Elephas maximus indicus: one gene and its partner. The main gene of each other region encodes a partner of the protein of the gene in region 2 in a complex. Links are inferred from orthologs where the notes say so. Each region holds a gene or a part of one and is shown on either strand. Other genes may lie near its edges.

Evidence for each region.
Region 1: the proteins of IL1A (region 2) and S100A13 are in contact, whole or in part, in an NMR structure (PDB 2L5X), measured with the Homo sapiens proteins. The link is inferred for Elephas maximus indicus from reciprocal best matches to the Homo sapiens genes IL1A and S100A13. Residues at the interface, in NP_000566.3 of Homo sapiens: Asn148, Gln150, Tyr151, Thr194, Ala195, Gln196, Asp197, Leu203, Leu204, Lys205, Glu206, Met207, Gly216, Ser217, Glu218, Thr219, Asn220, His239; in NP_001019381.1 of Homo sapiens: Met1, Arg25, Gln26, Glu27, Gly28, Arg29, Lys30, Asp31, Ser34, Asp68, Ser69, Glu70, Lys72, Phe73.

The regions. Positions count from the first base shown.
Region 1 is NC_064821.1:191,471,190-191,481,659, reverse strand, and holds the start of S100A13 (protein S100-A13), read left to right. Parts: upstream 1-6,497; 5' UTR 6,498-6,633; intron 6,634-6,841; exon of another isoform or gene 6,842-7,189; intron 7,190-7,612; 5' UTR 7,613-7,652; coding exon 7,653-7,805; intron 7,806-10,470. Other genes in the region: S100A1 (protein S100-A1), read right to left, coding at 2,266-2,409, 3,435-3,575. UniProt on the Homo sapiens protein: Plays a role in the export of proteins that lack a signal peptide and are secreted by an alternative pathway. Binds two calcium ions per subunit. Binds one copper ion. Binding of one copper ion does not interfere with calcium binding.
Region 2 is NC_064835.1:42,082,736-42,092,702, forward strand, and holds the start of IL1A (interleukin-1 alpha), read right to left. Parts: upstream 4,782-9,967; coding exon 4,735-4,781; intron 3,764-4,734; coding exon 3,715-3,763; intron 2,812-3,714; coding exon 2,589-2,811; intron 811-2,588; coding exon 637-810; intron 1-636. UniProt on the Homo sapiens protein: Cytokine constitutively present intracellularly in nearly all resting non-hematopoietic cells that plays an important role in inflammation and bridges the innate and adaptive immune systems.

The DNA.
Region 1 (10,470 bases), on a different chromosome or scaffold from region 2:
GGGAAGACAGCCAGCTTTGCTCAACTCGCCAAACAATTCTCCTTTTTTCCCTGTTATCCCCCATCAATCCCGCCACCAGTTTCCAGTTGAGCCTCTCCCCACCTCCTCCTCCCGGGCTCCGCCCCCTCTCGGGGGCGTCCTCACTCCAACACCCGGTCGGCTTCCACATGCCACCACCCCCCACTTCGCGACCGCCAGCTCCTTCCGTTCCCCAAGACTCTCCCCCTCCTCACTGCAGAAACGCACCAAAAGAAACGGACGCCAGTGCTCCTCCCGGGGCTGCCACCACGGCTGCGGCAAGCGGGCCGGGGACCGGCCGAACCTGAGTTGACGGTGGGGGGCTCGGGGTAACTTGGTGGGCGGTTGGTTAGATGCGTAATCGATAGACTGCTAGGCTAGCTCGTTGTTGTTTGCGGGCTGTTTGGCCAGTCCGCCTGCTCACCCAGCCTGCCTTTTCCTTCTTTTCGTCTATGCCACCACAGCTGCCGCTGCCGCTGCCGCTGCCGCCGCCGACGCCGCCGTGTCCCGCTCGACGTCCAAAACAAAATGGCCACCACGCCCCGTGCGGAGTGGGGCCGGCTAAAATGGCGTCGACGCTATTACGTCAGGCGTCAGATCCACGCACAACTAGGGGGCGGGAAAGACTTTTGCTACTTGGGCACGAGGCTGAGGGGCGGAGCCGCAGGGAGGAGGCGGAGCTTTAGTAAAAGGCCCTGTTTGTGTTACACCAAGCGCTCCGACCGCGGAGGGGCGTGGCCAATGGCCCTAGTGTTGAGGCTTGACGGGGCCTTCACGTTGGAGGCGCCTCGGTTTAGGAGCTGTAGACCCCTGGAGTCCTTCGTAGTCAGGGCCACTGAGACGGATTCAGTCTCGAAGAAAAATGTTTTCGTATCCCCTTGTTTACTCCTTCCCTCCTAAGATAGACCGTCTAAGTCTGACCGTCTAAAAATCTTTCCGCGGAATTTTACTCCACCTCTTGCAGATCACGGAGCCGGGCTGTCCGCTCAACCCCATTCTCCCTATTTTGGGAGTTGAGAACACTTTCCCGGTTCCTGCGCCATTCACCGCTTCCCGTCCGTATTAACCTCTCCACTTCTTTCCGTCCCCAATTTGGCCCGAATATTGCTTAGTCCTTATTTGGGGAGATCTTTGCGTCCCTGCTCACCCTTTCATGTCCTCCCTCTCCACCTGCCAGCCATGTGAATTTTGACACAGTTCTATAAAGGGACTTTTTTTATGTCTGGATACACAACAGAGTGCTCAGATATTTGAGACATGAGTGAATGAACACATCTTCAACCCTTCCTCCACCTTACTTATGCATCAGATTCTTTTATTTCTCTTCCTAGCACTTGTGTGTATGTGTTTTAATGGCCCGGTATCCTTGCTGGACTTTAGCCATGTGAGAGTAAGGATGGTGTTTGTTTTGTTCACTGCTGTATCCTAAGTTCCTACACAATGTCTGGCACATGGTACCAGTTACCAGTTGCCTTGAGTCCTTCTGACTCATGGCGACCCCATGTGTGTCAGAGTAGAACTGTGCTCCACAGGTTTTCAATGGCTGATTTTTCAGAAGCAGATCAGCAGGACTTTCTTTTGAGGCACCTCTGAGTGGACTCTAATCTTTATCCTTTCAGTTGGTAGTCAAGCGCTTTAACCTTTATGCCACCCAGGGACTCCCTAAAAAAAACCACGACCATAGGGACCCTATAGGACAGAGTAGAATTGCCCCATAGGGTTTCCAATCAGATTCGAACTGCCGACCTTTTGGTTAGCAACCGTAGCTGTGCCACCTCCTTAAGCACATTGGTAGGTCCTTAGTAAATACTGGTTAATGTTGAATGGAGATTCTTTTTCTGGCTTTATAGCCAAGAAGCTGATGTCTCTTCCACTTAACAGCTGGAACCCTAAAACCCCACATTGCTGGGCCTTGAGCATTCCTCAAGTAGGAGGATGTAATGCAAGTGACCTCTTTCCGAATAAGACCCTTCCCCAAGTAAGGCTCCTCCCCAAATAAGGCTAGTCCTGAGTGAGCAGTCTTTACTTCTCCACCCACTTCTGGACCCCAGAGGAGACAGACAGCAGATGGCTGGCGAGAGAGAAGCCTTTAATGAGAGAGGAGTTGCAGGCCTGACCTGCTACTCTTGCGCCCTTGATGGGGAATGGGGAATGTGGGGAGGGAAAAGTGGGGTGAGGGGAAAGTGGGGTGAATGGGCAGGTCCGGCACTGTAGAGGGGAAGGGCGCTGCTCACTGGGGCTGCCTGCTCAGCTGCTCTCCCAGAAGAAGTTGTTACAGGCCACAGTGAGGGCAGCCACCAGCACCACATACTCCTGGAAGTCCACCTCCCCGTCTCCATTCTCATCTAGCTCCTTCATCACCTTGTCCACAGCGTCGGCATCCTTCTGGGCCTGCCAAGGGAGGAAAGGAAGGGGCAGGTGTACAAGGAGTATAGGGGCCTAGCACTGAGTCAGTGTTAAGGGAATAGTTGATTGGGGAGAAGGAGACAGAGGTGAGCAAGAGGGAGAGCTACATCCAATGGAGCTCCTCTGCTCCCCTCCTCAAAAGTAACAAACATTTATGAACTGGTTGCCTAGAGAATAAGCTCCTTAACATGGCAGAGAAATAGTATTAGCAGAAATTACCAAACGTTGAGTGCCTACAATGAGCCAAGCAATACACTAGGAGTTTACACGCATTATCTGATTTAAATCTTAAGAAAAATAATATGAGGTAAGTTTCATTATTCCTATTTTAGAAGAAAAAAATTGTCAGTCAGTGGTTAAGTAATGTGCCCAAAGTCACAAAGCTAGAAAGTGGTGGGGTTAGAATTTGAACCTAGATCTAATCAAACCTCAAAGCCTGTGCACTTTCTACTGTGCCTGTGGCTTCTTCTTTACTACTGACCCCTGTTAGCATCTGCGGCCTAATTATCTGTATGTTGCACTCCAGTCAAACTACTGAGCAGGTTCCCTATTCTTCTTCTGTCTCCCATGCTTTTGTTCATGCTGTTACCTGCTGTCTACATTTACCCCACTTATCTACCAGTGGAAATCCATGGCTCAAGTGTCACCTGTCTGGAGAAGCTGGCTCACTCTAATCAGGTTAATATTCTGCCACAAACCTTTTTGGGACCCCTGTTAAGGCTCCGTATATTTCCCGTAGTTCATGGTTAACTTTCAAGTGTCAGTCTTTCCCTTCTAGGCTGTGAGCTTTGTTGCTGATGGATCTACACAGGGCCTAGCACTTAGCAGGTGCTCAGTAAACCAGGGCATTTGGACTTGAACCAGGAAAAGCAGGGGAGCCTGGAAAAACGCAGGAGAGGAGCCTGGGAGAGCAGAGAGATGGTTGGGCTGACCTGGGAGTAGGATGAGTAGATGGCAGAAAGGTGCCCACTCCTTGCCCACTCCACCCTGTACCCCCACTCTTTGCTCACGTCCAGGAAGCCGGAGAGCTCAGTCTGCAGCAGCTCTTTCAGCTCCTTCTTGCTCAGCTTGTACTTGTCCCCCTCCTTGCCCGAGTGGGCGTGGAACACGTTGATGAGGGTCTCCATTGCAGTCTCCAGCTCAGAGCCCATTTCGGCAGCTCACCTACCCCCCAAGATGGAAGTGAGCTGGGGACCAAGCCTAGGGTGTCTGGGGCTGGGGTGAGGGGAGTTCTGGCCTCAGGCCTGGTCCGAGGCCAGAATAGCCACGAGATCAGATCCCCACACCTATTTATCTTTCCTTGAGATTTTACAATGTGGGGAAAACCCAAACAGACCTAAATCCAGACCAGATGGAGTCAGGGTTTGGGCATGGAGATAGAGCAGATGGAGCTGGGTTGGCTCTGAAGTCCTGCAGAGGACTGCTGCAGTGGGTCCTGGCTGCCTGGGCAGAGACTGAGGAGGGTGGGGCAGGCAGGAATGGTCACAGGATGTGGCCAGGCTCTATTTTTATCCTGGGCATTGCCTGCGCAGCACAGCCAAGTTCTTTTGTAGGAGGTGGTGGGCTGGGGTCCTCTCCACAACCTTGACTCCACTCCCCAACCCTAGCAAGGAGTTAGTCTGGTGCCCTCAGTGAGCCTGAATGGAGGGGTAGCAGCCAGAGTGAGTGGCCCAAGACTTCTTGGGGGAGGATCTCACCGCCCCTGAGCTTCCTGTCAGCAACCTAGGGAACCCTTTTGGTGCCTCAACTCCATTATCTCCTGAATATGTCATTTTGGCTTCCCTGGGGTATGCCTCCCATTACCTCTAGTTTGGCTCCTCTCACTTCACTGTAGAATCAGCCCCTTCATCAGGTGAGTGGTGGGAAGGGAGCCTTAACCCTTTATCCCTAGAGCCAGGGCTTCCATAAAGGGGCAAGGAGACCTGTAGGGCCTTGTTGTCCCTGCTGCTTTTCATCACCCCTCTCCCCAGGCCCAGCCTGCTCACTGTGGGGACAGTGGGAGCAGGGGGAATGGGGGATGGTGTGTGTTGGAGGAGATAAAGGGCTAAAGGTGAGCGGTCCTTTGAGTTCAAGGGGCTGGGAGAGGAGAATGGAGGGGCCTATTGAGGAGAGGGCTGGGGTGAGGAGCCTGTCAAGCCAGGGGGGCCTCTTTCCCTTGGCCCTGGGAGGACAATCAGCCCCTTCACAGTCTCAGGGGGCAGCTCAGATGTCTCAGATCAGGTGTCCCCATCCTTCCCCAGGCCTGGGGGGCTGGACAATGGGCCCTGATCAGATGACATCCCAGCTCTTCAATGGAATCCTTGTGTGCGTCACCTGAACTCCAGACATGAGAAATGGTTGTCACAGAGACACAGGAGGAGAGGGAACCCAAGCTGGGGCTGATGGAAGGGATAAGGGGGTGTATGAGGGAGGGGTTTTGGGGCTTGATTACCTGCCCCATCCAGGAGGGGTGCCTGGAGGTTGCCTGGAGCTCTTGAGCACCCTGGGATTTTGTGGGGGGGCAGTTCTGAGAGGACCTGGTTGCAGAGTGGGCGGGTGGGGGGAGGGCAGATGGGAAAACAAAGAGTAAAGAATTGGGGGAAAGAGGAGTCTGGAGGTCTGGGCCGAGAAAGGGGAGGTCATGTGCAGGTAGAGTGGGGGGTAGGTACAGTGCCGTAGTGCTCCCTCTTCTGGTATCACATCATCCATGCTCTGCCACCCCGGGACTTCCTGGGACCTGAGCTCTTGGCAGGCTGGGTGGGGGTGGCGGGGGGGGGGGGCAGGCCGAAGCAGCTGTTCTATTTGCTCTCTTATTCTTACCCTACTGGAAACAAGGTGGGGGCTACCAGGTCCCCAAGCCTGCACCTGGGAGATTGTGGGAGCCTTGGGAGGGGACTTGTGGGCTCCTTGTTGGGAGGCCCAGTGGCCCGGAAACTTGCTCAGGGCTGACAGGTTCCCCACTGGTTTCCTCATCTGTTGAGCTCCCAGATTTCCCTCTGACCTTCACTTGGCTGCCTCATCACCTTCCCAATCTTGTCTCCTCCAAATCCCAAACTGCCACCACACTATCTCCTCCCAGACCCTCGGTCCTCCACAATGCCATCATCCCCAGACTCCTAGAACTCCCCTGAAACCCCCTTTCCCCCAAGCTAGCCAGGGAAGGGCCCTAGCCCAGGTGGGGCAGGATACTCACAGTTAGCCTGGGCCTGAGGTGGGAGCAGGTTCTGGACAGACAGATGAGTCTGCAAATGTGGCTACCAGAGCTGTGTCGGGAGACCTGTCTTCAGTCCTCCTTCCCCCGCTGACCCCCCCCCACTGGCTCCACCCCTTCACAGACAGACACCCAGTGGGGCAAAGGGCCAGGAGCGAACAGAGGCGCCCTCTGTCTCCTGGGCTGGAACAGGCTGCCTTGTGTCCTCTTCTCCAGCCTTGGTCTGCCGGCCCCCCCCACCTTCTCCCTTGCTAGGCACCAGCAAGGCGAGGGGGCCACGGAAAAGAGGCCCTGGGAGGGACAGAGATGTCTCACCCCAGCTCAGCTGGCAGCCCCTGTGGCTGGCTGTGCCCCATTGGACAGAGAAAGGGGAGGATCCCTTTGAGGAGGTCTGAGACTGAAGCTCCTCCATAAAGTCTCACTGGGGGGTCCCCTGAGTAATTTAGTCCCAGGAGTCTGCCTGAGGGGCTTCAGTCTGAGACTCCACTGAGGGACTTCAATCCAGGGCCTCCTCTCTGGGGGTCTCGGCCTGGAGCCCTTTTTATGATGTCTTAGTCATGAGTTCGCTGAGAGGATCTTGATTCCTGAGGGACGCTCTGTGGCATTGCTTAGGTTGGGTCTCTCAGCTCTGAGCTCCCTCGGTTGGTTATTTGAATCTGCAGTTGCCTCTCCGCTCTCATCCTATACACTCCTGATTAGATGTGGGGTGTGGTGGGGCTAGGTTGGGGGGCCCCCTGTATTCGGAGGTATAGGATCCCTGCTGGGTGGGATCTATCCAGGCATCTCGCGGCAGGTCCTCCCGTCCTCCCCCAAGTGGGGGCGCTGTGGCGCTGGGTTGCGGGGGGCCCAGGTTCCAGGCTTCATAGCTCAGAGGCGTGATTGGGCGGTACCCTTTCTTCCGAATCATCGACGGAAACTCGACACTTCTGGGCTTGTGAGCGGCTCTCTCCTCCCTCCGCGGGCGCTTATAAACCTCAGCCCGGCAGCTCCCGCTCGCTGCACCCCATCTCCTTGCCCCGGTGAGTCGCGTCCCTCTAACCCTGCAGGGCAGAGCCTGGGACACCCCTTTCCTCCTCGGGCTCTCAGGTCCCTTCCCCGGAGCCAGCTCAGATAGGATTTCAGGAAGTGGTTTAGGGAAATCAAGCAACATTCCCCGCAGGCGGTGGTTGGGAACAGGCGGGGCGTTTGGGAATGTCCCCTTCCTCCAGCCCGCCCCCCTTACCCTCAAGGACTTTGAGTGCCGAAGCCCTCTCTCCCTCCCTTTCTGGGCGCGGGGAGTCAGCGAGTCCCATCGGGGACCCCTGTCACCGGAAACAGGAGAGGAGACGGTCTGTGGGGTCCAGGGCTCAGCCCTGTGCCCAGCTGCTTCAGCACTTGCGCCTGAAGGGAGGCGGAGTGGGGAAATGATGAAGACGGGTTTGCCAGCCCTGACCACAGCTGGGCATTTGCCAGACCCTGGGCTCCTCTGTTGGAAAGAGCGGCCAGAGTGTGTGGCGGAGTGCAGGCGGGTGGAGACCCACGTCTGAACACAAACAAGCTTCGGAAATAAACAACTTTATGACCCTTTGAGGCTGGGTGAGATTCCAAAAGGGCCCTTGGGACTGAAACCCCACAGAAGGGCTGCCAGCCTGAGGGAACTCCACAGAGGGATCCCCAGACTGAGAGAACTCCAAAGAAGGACCCCCAGACTGAGAGCCTCCAACAGAGGGGACTCCAATCTGAGGGGCCACCACAGAAGGGTCCCTAAGACACAAACACTTAAAAAAGGGCCCCTAGAATTCAAAACCTACAGAAGAAAGGGTTTCTGGAGCTGAAATGCCTCCTATCACCCACCTCAACTGAGATGATGTTGCCTGGTCTCCTGCCCTCTCCTTTTTCTACATAATTCCCCTTCTGGGTGGAAGCCTGAGGTGGCAAAGCCAGGGCAGGGAACCCTCTGGCCTATTCTTGGATCCCCTGGTCTCCCTGACTCTCCCTCTGCTCCTTCATCTCCTGCAGGTCAGCCCCTCAGGACACCAGCTCCAGGCCCTGGGTCCTCATGGCAGCAGAGCCACTGACTGAGCTGGAGACCGCCATCGAGACAGTGGTCACCACTTTTTTCACCTTTGCAGGGCGGGAGGGCAGGAAGGACAGCCTCAGCATCAATGAGTTTAAGGAACTGGTCACCCAGCAGTTGCCTCACCTGCTCAAGGTAGGTGAGGGTCTGCAGGACTAAGATTTTGTGAGACAGTGGTTGTGGGTGATATTGTTGAACATGATGGTATGAGCACAAGTGTGATTGTGGGGAAGGGTGCAGATAAATGGTTCTTGATTTTCCTACCTGGGGTGTGTGTGTGTAACTAACTAGGTAACTAAAAAACCTGTTTATGCAAGCGAGAGTGTTACGGGGCTTCATGATCCCTTCAGACCATACTGTTGGCTTCCTGTGTCTAGTCTGTGCCTCTCTGGTCTCATTTCGCAACACAGGACTGGGCCCAGGGCTGGCTTCCAGGAGATTCGTAGGTCATCAGAGCTAGAAGGAGGTCAAGAGAAAACATTGCCCAACTTCCCCACTTCACACATATGGAAACTGAAGTCCAATGGTGCAAAGGGGCTTGTCAAAAATAAAAGTAAAAACAGCCAAATTCATGGAGTCACAGAATCTCAGTATATCAGGGGCTCATAAGGAGGAACTATGATCACTTTCCACCCACTACGGAAATCCCCTCAACATTGTGCCTGACAGGGTCATTCCTTTTCTCCTACTAACAGAAAGGAGTCAGGACTTAAATTTCATTGCCTTTGGGTTGGCACACCATTCCAGGCTGCTGAGTTTCTCTTCCATCCTTTCTGAAAATTCCCAGGCATGTAAAAGTATGAGAATATGGATTTTTTAAAAACACAAATGAATGTTTGAAACTCATAGTCTTTTCTCCGGCAAAATCCCCTTCATCCTTAGACTTCTCAGAGTTTTTTCCTCATCATCTTACTGAAAATCTGGCTCTTGCCTGAAGGTACAGCATTCCCTGTTGCCTTGTCAAGTAATGGCTTTTTTTTTTTCTTCCACATCCAACTCCCTCTGGGCCTGGGAACACAGGAGAAGACCTCTTTGCTTTTCATTGCTGCTTCCAGATTTAAGTTCCTCCTTCTTGCTAAGCACCCTTGCTCTTTGGAAGCCCGTGTATTACCTGCCATCTCTCTTATTGCAGTCTTCATAGCACTTCAGCCCCTGGCTTACTGTTCTTTTTCTCATGATTGCTTCTGTCATTATTCTCGGTGGCCTCAGTATCCCCACAGACAACTCATCCAAAACCTAAATTCCAAAGATTCTGCCCTTCATCTCAGCATCCCATTTCTATGTTCGGACTTTAGACCTTATTACCAAAAAAATGTGCCACCTCCACAATCTTAATTTCAAGCTTTCCTTTCTCTGACTGCCACCTCCTGACTTTCCAAATCTATTCCTCTTTTCCTCCTCCCAGCATTTCCTTTATACCACTGGAACCTCTAATCTCTTGACCCTTTTTTCTTTTTTCATCCTCATCCCTTGTGTCCTTATTAACCTTCTTACTCAACTCCAGTTCTAAAGTTCATTCTTATAATCACTCCCTTAACTTCCTTGCTTCTGTCTCCTTCTGTCCTGCTTGTCTGGTGGCATCCCTGTAACCCATTGCCCTGTTTCGTTGAGTCTGACTCATGGCGACTCCATGTGTTACAGAGTAGAACTGCTCCATAGAGTTTTCTTGGCTATAACCTTAATGGAGGCAGACCACCAGGCCTTTCTTTGGCAGTGCTGCTGGGTGAGTTCGAATTGCTAACCTTTAGGTTAGTAGTAAAACGCAAACTGCTTGCACCACCCAGGTTAAATCCAACACTCTACCTACATTAACTTGCTGATTAACATGCTGGTTAAATCCAGCATCCTGAGTCTGCACTGGTAGAGTGAATCTGACTGGAAAAAACAAACAAATAAACGCACACACACACACACACACACAGCCATGCTGACTTGTCTCACTTAAATCTATAACCACAAACCCCGAGGGGACCCTTGGCAATTCTACAGTTCTTTCATCACTTCATTTACCAGCTCTTTCAGATGGTTAGTTCAAAACTTTCCTCTCTCCTTAGGGTCCAGTACCTCCCCCTCCACATTCTTCTTCTCTCGGTTGATGACTTTGCTTCTTAGTTCACACAGAAAATAGGAGCAATCAAGAAACTTCTCAGTGCTCCCTCTCCCAAATCTGCAACCTGATCAGCACATGCTCTGCCTGTTACCATGAAGGATCTGTCACTGCTCCTAAGGCCAACCCTTTCACTGGTGCCCTGGATCCCATCCCCTCTGGCCTACTTAAAGACTTTATTCTTGCAATTATTCTCCCTCTCTGTCTTGCATCATTAAATGATTCCTCTCTATGGGTCATTCTTATCAGCTTGCACATATGCTGTAATATCTCCCATCTTAAAAAAAAAAGAAAGAAAGAAAACTTCCCTTGGCCCTATAACCCCCTCGAGCTATGCCTTATATCTCTGCTCCCCTTTATAGCAGAATTCCTCAAAAGCAGTGAGAGTTATTTATACTTAGGGCCTTCACTCTCTCCTCTCCTGACACTGTCTGCTCCCCATCCCCCATTTCTTCTTGCATCCATTCTAGTCAGGTTTTCATCCCCACCACCCCACTGCCACTGAAACTTCTCTTGCTACTATTATGAGTGATCTCCTTACTGCTAAATGATCAGTTCATATTCCTTGTTTACATTGTTGAAACATTTTCTTCACTTGGTTTTCTAGATAACAAGTGCTCCTGGTTTTCCTGCTATCTGTGTGGCTGCTCCTCCTTAGTCTTCTTTGCTTTACACATTGAATAAAGTCTAAGA
Region 2 (9,967 bases):
ATATTAGCTATAGTGTGTCCAATCAAAAAGAGCTCTGCTTGTTTATTGCACAGTTGCCTCTTTGGGTCTGTGAAAATAATTTATATACTAATGACATGTCCTGAAGCTAAAATATATCCACCGTGGTAAATGGATCTGTATGACAAAAATTTCTACATACCCCATCTCAGCCTTCAGACCATATTTGCAGCTAATTGCTGGTGTTGCCTTACAATTATGTAACCAAAGATAAAAATGATTTTTCTAATTTAGTGCTATTTGTAAGTTTGACCAGCAGAATTTCCATTGAGGAATGATTACTCCTTGTTGGTCTCTGGGTAAATCTGAGTAAGTCTTGTAATATTTCTGAGACTCAGGTTCTTCATCTTTAAAATCAGAGAGATTCAAATGAGATAGTGTATCAGCAAGCTTTGTATTCCACTAAGTGCTCTCAGAGACAGGCAACACCTCATGTGGAGTTTCCAGATTTTGCTAAAACTCCTGTCCCTGCCTGGGAGTTTTACCAGGGGTTATGGGTTTCATCAGATTCTAGAATTAAACAAAGCCAGGAATCTAGAGAGGTTTATTCTTTGAGAGTAGAAATCTGAAAGAAGTAAAGAAATAAGAGGCAGGGGAACAACAGAGCTGGCCATTTACCTGCATTGTCCAGGTTATTTAAAGCAGCAGCCTTGAGGTATGGACCTGTTGGGTCTCGAATTAAACTTTGAGCAAGGATGTCGTTCAGGATGCACTGGCTTTTGATGGTCTTTGTAAAGCCGTATTTCACTTTGTTCTGGAAGGTGGAAAATGCTGATTTGCTCTCGATGATTTCTAAAACCATTACCACAAGCTCAGATTAATGTCTAGGTGCAAACATAGATGATGTATATACCCTCATGTAATTGCAGAAAGTAGCTGGGGGAGGGATATTAGGAATATTCCCGTCCAGGTGGGAAACTGTTAGAGAAGTGAAACTACCCAGGCAGCAGTAGAAGTGGTTTTTAAGCTTTGATTCCTCAGGCAATCATCTCCCCCTCGCCCCCATCCCCCCCCAAAATTATTTGTGAAACTTCCTTATTTTTGCTTGTTGGGAGGTTTCTAAGTAACCGGGAAGACTAGAAGTATTCCGCATCTATATTTTCAAATGAATGTACTCAGAAAAAAAAGAAAAGAATTGATTAAGAATTGTATATGCCATTGAGGGTGCAGGTCTAAATGTCTATTACTTTTCTAGAAAGTGGTATGTATCAATAGCTTCACAAATCCTCAGAGCTCTGAGTAATTCCGCTTCTGGGAATCTCTTCTTAGGAAACAAATGCTGATGGAAATGAAGGTTTGTTGATACAAATGTTCATTGCCACGTCACTTACACTGCTGAAAAATTGGCACTCCAAAATGTCCTTGACACGTTGCTACGTGAAAAGGGCCAGATATAAAATTGTATATAGTGTGATCCTAATAACAAACACGTTTGTTTATGTATGTGTATGTGTATAGAAAATACTTTAAGGAAGTATACCATAGTGTTGGCAGTGGTAAACTCTTGAGTGGTAGTATGAGTGATTTTGATTTTTTTAAAAAAATATTTTCTTGCATTTTTCAACTTCCTAGGTGTACATGCATTTTTGTTTAGATGTTATCTTAAAAACAGGAATAATGGGTTTATGTTACATGTGGAGGCTTGTACAGTAAAGGCATGAGAGAAAAATCATTTTTTTTTTTTTAAGTCAGGTAGAACTGAATTTGATTTGGAACTCTCCCACTTACAGGCTGCATGTCTTTGGGCAGGTCACTTATCTCGCCGAGCTTACTTTTCTCACATGTCAAATGAGAATGTAGGGTTATTGTGAGGTTTATATATAATTCAGGCATTAATAAATTAATGTAGTATTGGTGGTATTAATAGAAGTATTAACTGTAGTAGTAGTAATAACAACAAAGGAATAATTGCGATAATAATAGCTGACATTTTTTGGGTGCTTACCAGGAAAACCTGTTGGCACAGTGGTTAAGAACTATGGCTGCTAACTAAAAGGTCGGCAGTTCAAATCCACCAGGTGCTCCTTGGAAACCCTATGGGGCAGTTCTACTCTGTCCTATAGAGTTGCTATGAGTTGGAATCGACTCAGTGGCAATGGGTTTGGTTTGGTTTTTTTGGGTACTATGCACCAGGCATTATTCTAGTCCAGGAGTTGGGGGGTGTTCACTCATTTAATCTTCATGATAATACAGTGAGGTAAAAACTCTGATTATCTCCATTTTACAGTAGAGAAAGGTTTAATAACTTGGCCACGGGAGCATAACTAGTGAATGGAGGAACATATCTTGTAAGTGGTCACCCACTAACAGTATATAGTTACTTTTCCCCCTGAAAGGCTAAAAGTCACACGAGCTTTATAATACGATCAGTAAATGAGCCTGTGGGCAAGTATTCTACACTCAGGTCACTGCTGCTGTCTCTGCTTTAGAGAAGGAGAAAAATTAATTTTCCTTCCTTATGTTACTGGACTAAGGTCTGGTTGCCCTTCTGCTACTCTAAGTTTTATTTCCCTTAATACTCTATTGTCCCTATTTATTTAAAAATGGACATGATTGGCTTGACCTCTTACCTTCTTCTGGATCATTGGCAATGGCCTCCAGGTCTTCATCAGTGATGGGCTGATTTAAACTTAGTCGTCTCTTCTTCAGAATCTTCCCTGTGGCTGACACCACTGCCACACTCTCCTTGAAGGCAGGTTTGGCTATCTTAGAGGTTTCAGAGGTACTCAGTGACATAAATTTATCCATGCAGACCTCCTGAAGTGGGCCATAGTTTGCATCATAGAAGGATTTCTGTAAAGAAGAAAATGGATACTGAGAGGCTGCCATGGCTGTGGAATGAATGACACACTTTTCAGTAGGAATCTTGTCCAACTGACTTAGTGAGAAGGGTCTCCATTTTGGTCTTGGGTAACCTATGTTTCATCAGTCTTCTCCTGCTCCTTCCCTCCCTCCTACCTTCCTCGCTTTTCTCTTTCTTCCTCCCTTCCCTCCTTGCTTCCCTCCCTTTCTTTCTTCTAGGATGTCCCTAAAAGGATGTGATCTCTTGGGCGAGACTTTGTCATCCATGTGCAAGGACTCACAACTGAGATATTGTAATAAAATAGGTTAACAAGCGATCTTCGTGAGTGGTAGTCTTCAAATTGGTTCCTGCTCAGGAGGTTATGGTAATCTCTGCTTGACCTCTGCTTTAGAAATGTTCCTCTGAGAACAGCTTTGGCAGTCGGTACCAGAAATACACACGGCAGAACTTATCCCACCTACTTGTGGACTCCAGGTGAGTGGCTGCAGATTTCTCACTTTCAATTGGTCTGCTTCTTCTACTTCATGGGCTATTATGTTTGGAGGGCTCTACCTAACCTCACTTTAGGAGACAGACACCTAGTGAAGTGACCTGAAGGGGCTGCTTCAGGATGGCATAACTGATGTTCTGATGAAGCCTGACCCAGGAGGCTGTGGTCCTTGTGGCTTCAGGAAAGTTCTGCTCTGTTCTGGGCAAGGTGGTGAGCATGAGGAATGCCATTAACTGTTAGTTTAGAGAGGCAGCTGGTCTCACTTGTAATGAAGAAATGCAAGTTTCTGGACCTTTAGTGGATGTAAAACAAAAGTATCGACGGCCCAAGTCATTATTCTCTCCTGGTGAGAAACTACTGTATAAAAATACCAGTGCCCTAGGAGTTGCAATCATTTGCTTACCTGAATCAGAGAGAGGGTGTCATTGTTGGAACTGTATTCTTCATTTTCACTGTCAAAACAAGATGATGAGAATGTAATTCTGTTTATTTCCCTACGGTCACTGGGCAACTTATTTTAATGACCACATTAGCTTTGGGTAACACACACACTTGGACATTACTGTCATCTTTGAAAATTAAAGGACTTCTAGACACACACATACATACAGTAATTCATTCCGTACTAATTTGCAGTTAGGAATAATCAGGACAGGGCTTGGACTTTACCTGTGCTTCATCTATAAAAACTGGGTTTGGCTAACAAATTAAAGAGTTTTTATTGAACGTCAGGAAAAAATGTTAAGTTCCTCAAGAGAAAAGAAAAACTTTTGAAACATCTCCATTTTTTTAAACCAAATGTTTAATCATATGTTGCACATTGTTTTCCTGGGTTCTACAAAGTAGATTTAATAATTTATATTTGGCAAAATATTCAGGTAGCATTTTGATAGGCTAGTTTGTATTAGTGTATGTTATAGGTAGTGAGAATGCCATAAGTGTTTAAAATGTTCTGTAATTTCAATTTTTTATTTCTTTATCTTTCTCCTATGTCTGAATGAAGTTTGAGTGTGTGTGTGCATTCACAAGCTCGAATTGCTGTGTAGCCAACTCCTGATCCTGATTGGGATAAGAAGTTTGCATGAGAATGGCTTCTTTCTCATCCATGAAAACCCATTACTGTATCAGGGCATTGAGCTCAATTGGGGCTGTGCTTAAGTAGATGTTGAAATTCGTGTAGAACTCGGTAGACTTCAAAAATCATTTTTCTAAAATGACTGTCTCCCTGTCAGTGCAATCTCAGTTTAACACGCTGGATGCTTGATTTCCCTGAGTCTTCAGCTGAACTTGCACAGAATTCAGAAGTAGTGTTCTCCACACTCTCTGCTGATCTGACCCCATGTTGGTCACCGTAACTCCTAGCGGGATTCTAATGAGACTTGATCCCTTTGTTAAATCACAAGAGATAGAATCTATTTCTTACCTGTAACAGTCCTTCAGGTCTTCAAACAGGTCAGGAACTTTGGCCATCTTGATTTTCTGCAACAGAGAACACTGGCTGTCGGCTCAGCCAACCTTTGAATCAGATGGAGCCAACTCCACTCTATGTTTCTTGGGAGACTTGACTGAATTGACTTAGCCCACACTCAGCATTTCCCCTATTCTTCTTGTTCACTCTCTCGCTCTGTTTTTATTTATACCTACCTCCTTCACTGGACTGTAGCCTTTTTAGAATCTGTTTTATTTATCTTGGTATCCCTTACATGCCCAGCCCAATGCACTGCACATAGCAGGCATCGAGGGAACTAAAAGTCACCAGAATGAGATATTTATCTTACACAGATGTAAGAGAAAGACAGGTGGAAATTTCCAGCTCTTTTCCTGATAATTTTTGGTAGAGAAATTTCCTTCAGAGGGAAGGCTCAGATGTGCCCACCAACGCCCTCATAAGAAGCCAATTCCTCTGTCCTTGGGGTTCCCCAGCAGAATGAGAGATTTTCTGAGATCTGACTGTGATTCTCGCTCACATCCCAAACCAGGGAGGGACAAGAAAGGAAGAGAGAGGTTATTGCTTCATAGAAGGCAGTTTGAGAGACAGCAGCCAAGAAAAAAAACAAAAAATATTTAAAAAGAGAAACACGTGATAAGGACGATACCTTTGCCGACTGGAGCGCCAATGAAGTGATTCCTTCTCTGCCAGGAGAACTAAGACCGAGTCAGGCTGCTTCGCCTTTTGTAATTGTCTTGTCTTAAGTAGGTGTGGCAATGACTACGTCACCAGGGAATTTACAGGAGAGAATTCTTTTTGAATCAACTTGATACTGGCTAAAATAAGACAGATTGTATAGTTGATGGTATTGCCAAATTATTTGCAGAGATCCCAGGACTTTTTTTTTATTCACTAGGCTTATTGACTTATTGCTTTGCTCTATACAATTATAAACATGCAGTCTTAGAAAAAGGGAAGAAGAGCAGAAAACGTATTAAGCTTCTAAAAATATGCAGTGAGGGGAGGAAGTTACAGTGGTTAGCGTTGGAGGGGGCTTAGTAGCTGTAGTGGGTGTCTTGGCTTCATTTGTTTATTGTGCGCAGGCTGAAAGGGAACTGATGACACATCTTTCTTGGAGAGAGGTTTGCTTAAATAAGACATAAATCACTCTGAGCAGGAGGTGATGATCTCCTGGTTAGGCAGAATAGAGAAGTGATATTTGACCACAAAAGTTTTAATCCTTTGCTCCTCTGAATACTGTCAACTCATTTCTGACAGAGGTGACAGAGAACTCCCTGCCCTAGCCATGTCTCAGCAAAGCAGGCCTCTGCCAGAACCCAAAGAGAAGCCTGGGCTTCTCCAGGATCAACCCATGGTGTGTAAGGGTAGCTGCACCCTTGGGGAGGAGCGGGTAAGACCCTGGGCAGAGACCAGTGGCTGGGGTCTCAGCAGCAGTATCTTACAAGTCTGCAGTGCAGCCAACAGGACATCCTCGGGGAACTGGGGGACTCAGGGACCTCAAAAGGAGGCTGAGGGAGGTTACATCAGTGATGTCTCATTGTTACTATTAAAGGCTTTTTGGTATCCTGAGGCCAGCCCAGTTCAGGTGATAAAACACCAGGCTGCTTAGCAGATGAATGTTTCAGGTTTCTTAGTGGGAGTTTGAACCACACAAATTTAAGTAAAGTAAATGGATGGAAGAAAAGGGCAGAGGAGAGAAAAAGCAGAGAGAGAAAGGTGAGGCCTTTGATACATATGGTATAAAACATGATATAAAAAGGCAAAAAAATCACAGAACTGGAAGTGGGGTGGTTTGTGCGAGTTTGGTAAACTCTCTGGGACTGTTTAACTGAGAATATTGGACTTGGTTAGATGATCAATCAGGTCTATTATAACTGCAAAAATCTTTGATTCTGTTGCTTACTCTCTCAGTAGCCCAGTTCCTCCTGGTTGTAGACTTGGTGTTGTAATAGTTATAAACAAGAGCCACAGAAACAACTGGCACCCTGGAAGAAGGTACTCTAAATGTAGGATCAAGTTGAGACAGAGTTTGGGTGTCTTTGGATTGACCCTTGGGTGAACAAGGATGACAGTCAACTCTTCACATTTAGTTCCCCTTCAGGCAATACAGAAATGTTAATCCTAGTCACCCGCTCTGCCTCTGGTGCATCTTGTTAGGACTATTATTAAGAAACAATTTCAAAGCACATTGTGAATGTGGGCTGCTACACAAATAATGACACTAATGATGGCTCCAGTTGTAACGCCTTGGTTCACTGAAGAGGATATAGTTCTTAGGAAAATATGAGCTTGAAAACTTCAACAGGGAGAAAAATTCCAGTTGAAGGTCATTATTGAATCCCTGAAGGCATTTATTTAGCCCGTGGGAGCAAAGCATACCACCTTTTTGGTAATCCAGGAAATCACCCTTGCTTCCACCATCAGCAGCAACGTCCGTCCTGGCCTTTATCGCTCCTCCACTGTAAAGAAATCCCCAAAAGTGGTTGTTGAGTTTCTCAAAAAGAGTTTAGTTTTCTCTAGAAAGCTAACTCAGGTTGGGGTATCTCCCAACATTTTCCTTCACTTGACCTCCTTGGACTTGGTTTTTCAAGGAAAAACAAGGTGGATAAAGTTCAGGGTGGGAGAGGCCCTTGCTTTGTTTTTGGGAGCCTTGTTTGCACGAGGGTGAAGGAGGCTGACCTGTAAGTAACCTTGCTTACCTCTAAGACCACATCTTTCTAAGGAGTGGAGAGAAGAATACACTTGGTGTATCTCTAATGGAGTCTAGGATATGTAGGGGGTGGGCTGTCCTATGACAGGAGCTCTCAGTGTCTTCATGTACATACTTCTTGGCTCTCAGGAGACCATGAAAAGCCCTTCTTGAGTTATTTTTACAAAAATCATTCAGAAAAAATTATTGTGCACTTATTCCATGCCAGGCATTTTGTTAGGCACCGGTGTTTTTCTTTCGTGATTCAAAAAATTAGATATGCAAGATGAGATGATGGATGTTGGCAAGTTAGTGGATATGCTTTACCAGGTGAGAGATGGTACGTCCAAAGAATCATGATGATGCTTTTCATTTGAAACTGCTTTAGAGTTCACAAAGAGCTCTTAACTGCTATGCCTTACTGACTTCTCATTGCATCTGTAAGAGGTAGCTATTATTATCCATTTTTCTTTGCTGAGGACCCTTGAACAGGTTAAGTGACTAATCTAAGATCACAAAACTGACAGAACCAGTACTTGAACTCTGGTTTCTGAGTCTCTTCTCACCACCAATACCAAGTGACAGGGCCGAAACAGATCATTCTTAAGGTCTTTCCCACCTCAAACACTCTATTTGGTGATTTTGGACTCTTGTTAAAAAAAAAAAAAAAAGATAAAAAAAGAGAAGATTTGAAATATATTTCCCTTTCTTCCCTAATCTCATTTTGTTCTGTGACATACAGGAACAGGAGGAAGGTATTGAGCACATGGTCAGGAGTGGAGCCTGGATGGGAACCCGAGTCTTGTTCTTGCCATTGTACCAGGAAGACAGGAAATGCTTGTAAACATTTTTAGACCAACTTTAGAATCATTGCATATGATTGAATCTAACAGAATCACTTGAATGCAGAGAGAAACAAGACTTTTCTCTGTGAATTTCCAGGACATGCATTCATTAATTTTTGGGCGGTATAAAGCCTCTTCAGAGGAATAAACAATGCATAAGCCATTGCTTACAGAGACAATTGGGCCTTTAGTCTCAACTCATGCTCTATTTAATTATAATCTGCTTTTAAATTCTATGATGGTGAAGGGGAGGGAGGAAAGGGCACAACATCGTCTACTGTGTTCCAGGTGCTGTAATACATTATCTCATTTAATCCTCTGATCCTACCTGTGAGGTAGGTGTTCTTATCACATTTTATAGATGAGGATATCGAGGTTCAGAGAGATTAAGCAATCTGCTCAGGATCACAAAGTTATCAAATTGCTGAAATGGGTTTCAGACACCAGAGCTAGTATGCAGTCAACCAAACAGGAGGCCTTCTCTTTTCCTTAGTGTAGCCTCTTCCTTTCCTTTGTTCCCTTAAATTAATGTTTAATTCTTCTGCCTTCTGTTGTTAGTCTATTGAAGGACCTAGAATTATATTTTAGAGAAGGACGCACCTCAGATACCATCAAGTTCAAATTCTTAAAAAAGAGGAAATAGTCTCAGAGGGAGGACGTACTACCCCATGGTCACATGAAGAATTCATATGAGAGCAAGAACTAAAATTGAAGCTCACTATTTCTTGACTTCTAGTTCAAAATATCTTATTACCTACTAACACTGGCTCTTCAGTGAACAGAGGAAAAGTGAAGATATAATCTCTTCTAAAAAAAAATTTTTTTTTTTTTAATATGGCTCCTCACCTGTAAATAAAAAAGGAATTAAAAACAATGAAACCCCATCAAGTAAGCAAAACCAGCTATGGTTCCTGTTTTCATGGAAGCTGACAGTGAAGACATTAATCAATAATCTCCCCAAACAGTATGTATGGACAAGCAAATACAGTAAGTCATGTCACAGAGGAGCTGGTCTTAGACTGGGAATGGATAGTACAATGGGGAGGGAAGAGGGAATATTCCAGGCTGAGCAAAGGTTATGGGGATCAAAGAAGTGAAAGTACACCATTGAGGCTGCAGCAGGGGGTGAGAGGAGGTGGCAAGATAAGGATGGAGAGGAAGGCAAGCACCAGACAGGCAGGGCCTCGTGTAGGCCCAGCTAAGGTCTTTATCCAAAGTTTAATGGGACCGCACATAACAACAAGAACAACCACAAGGGTTGTACGTATGGGTGACATAAGCAGCTTTGTACTTTTAAAAGATCGCTCTTGTGCGTGAAAACAATTTCTAGATTATAAAGCAGTAGACGAAGGATAGGAATTACACGGAGTGAAGAGAATGTATTCACAAAGCGTACATGAAAACTGGCCTTGCTCTCTTCACTCTGGCTTGTGTACCAGAGGCAGCAAGTGCTCTGGGAGCTCGAAGAGCAGAGGGCTGCCTTGGCTGGGAGCAGGTGGTGAAGTTCACGTAGGTTGAAGCCTGCTATTCAGTCAGCAAATCCCCAGTGAGCAGTGTTTCCTTCTCCTATCTTTAATTAATCATTTGTTCCCTAATTTATATACTTTTCTTCCTAAATCCCCTTCCTCTCTTCTCTTGAAGTGGTGCTTTACAGGACTGTGTCCCCTCTTTG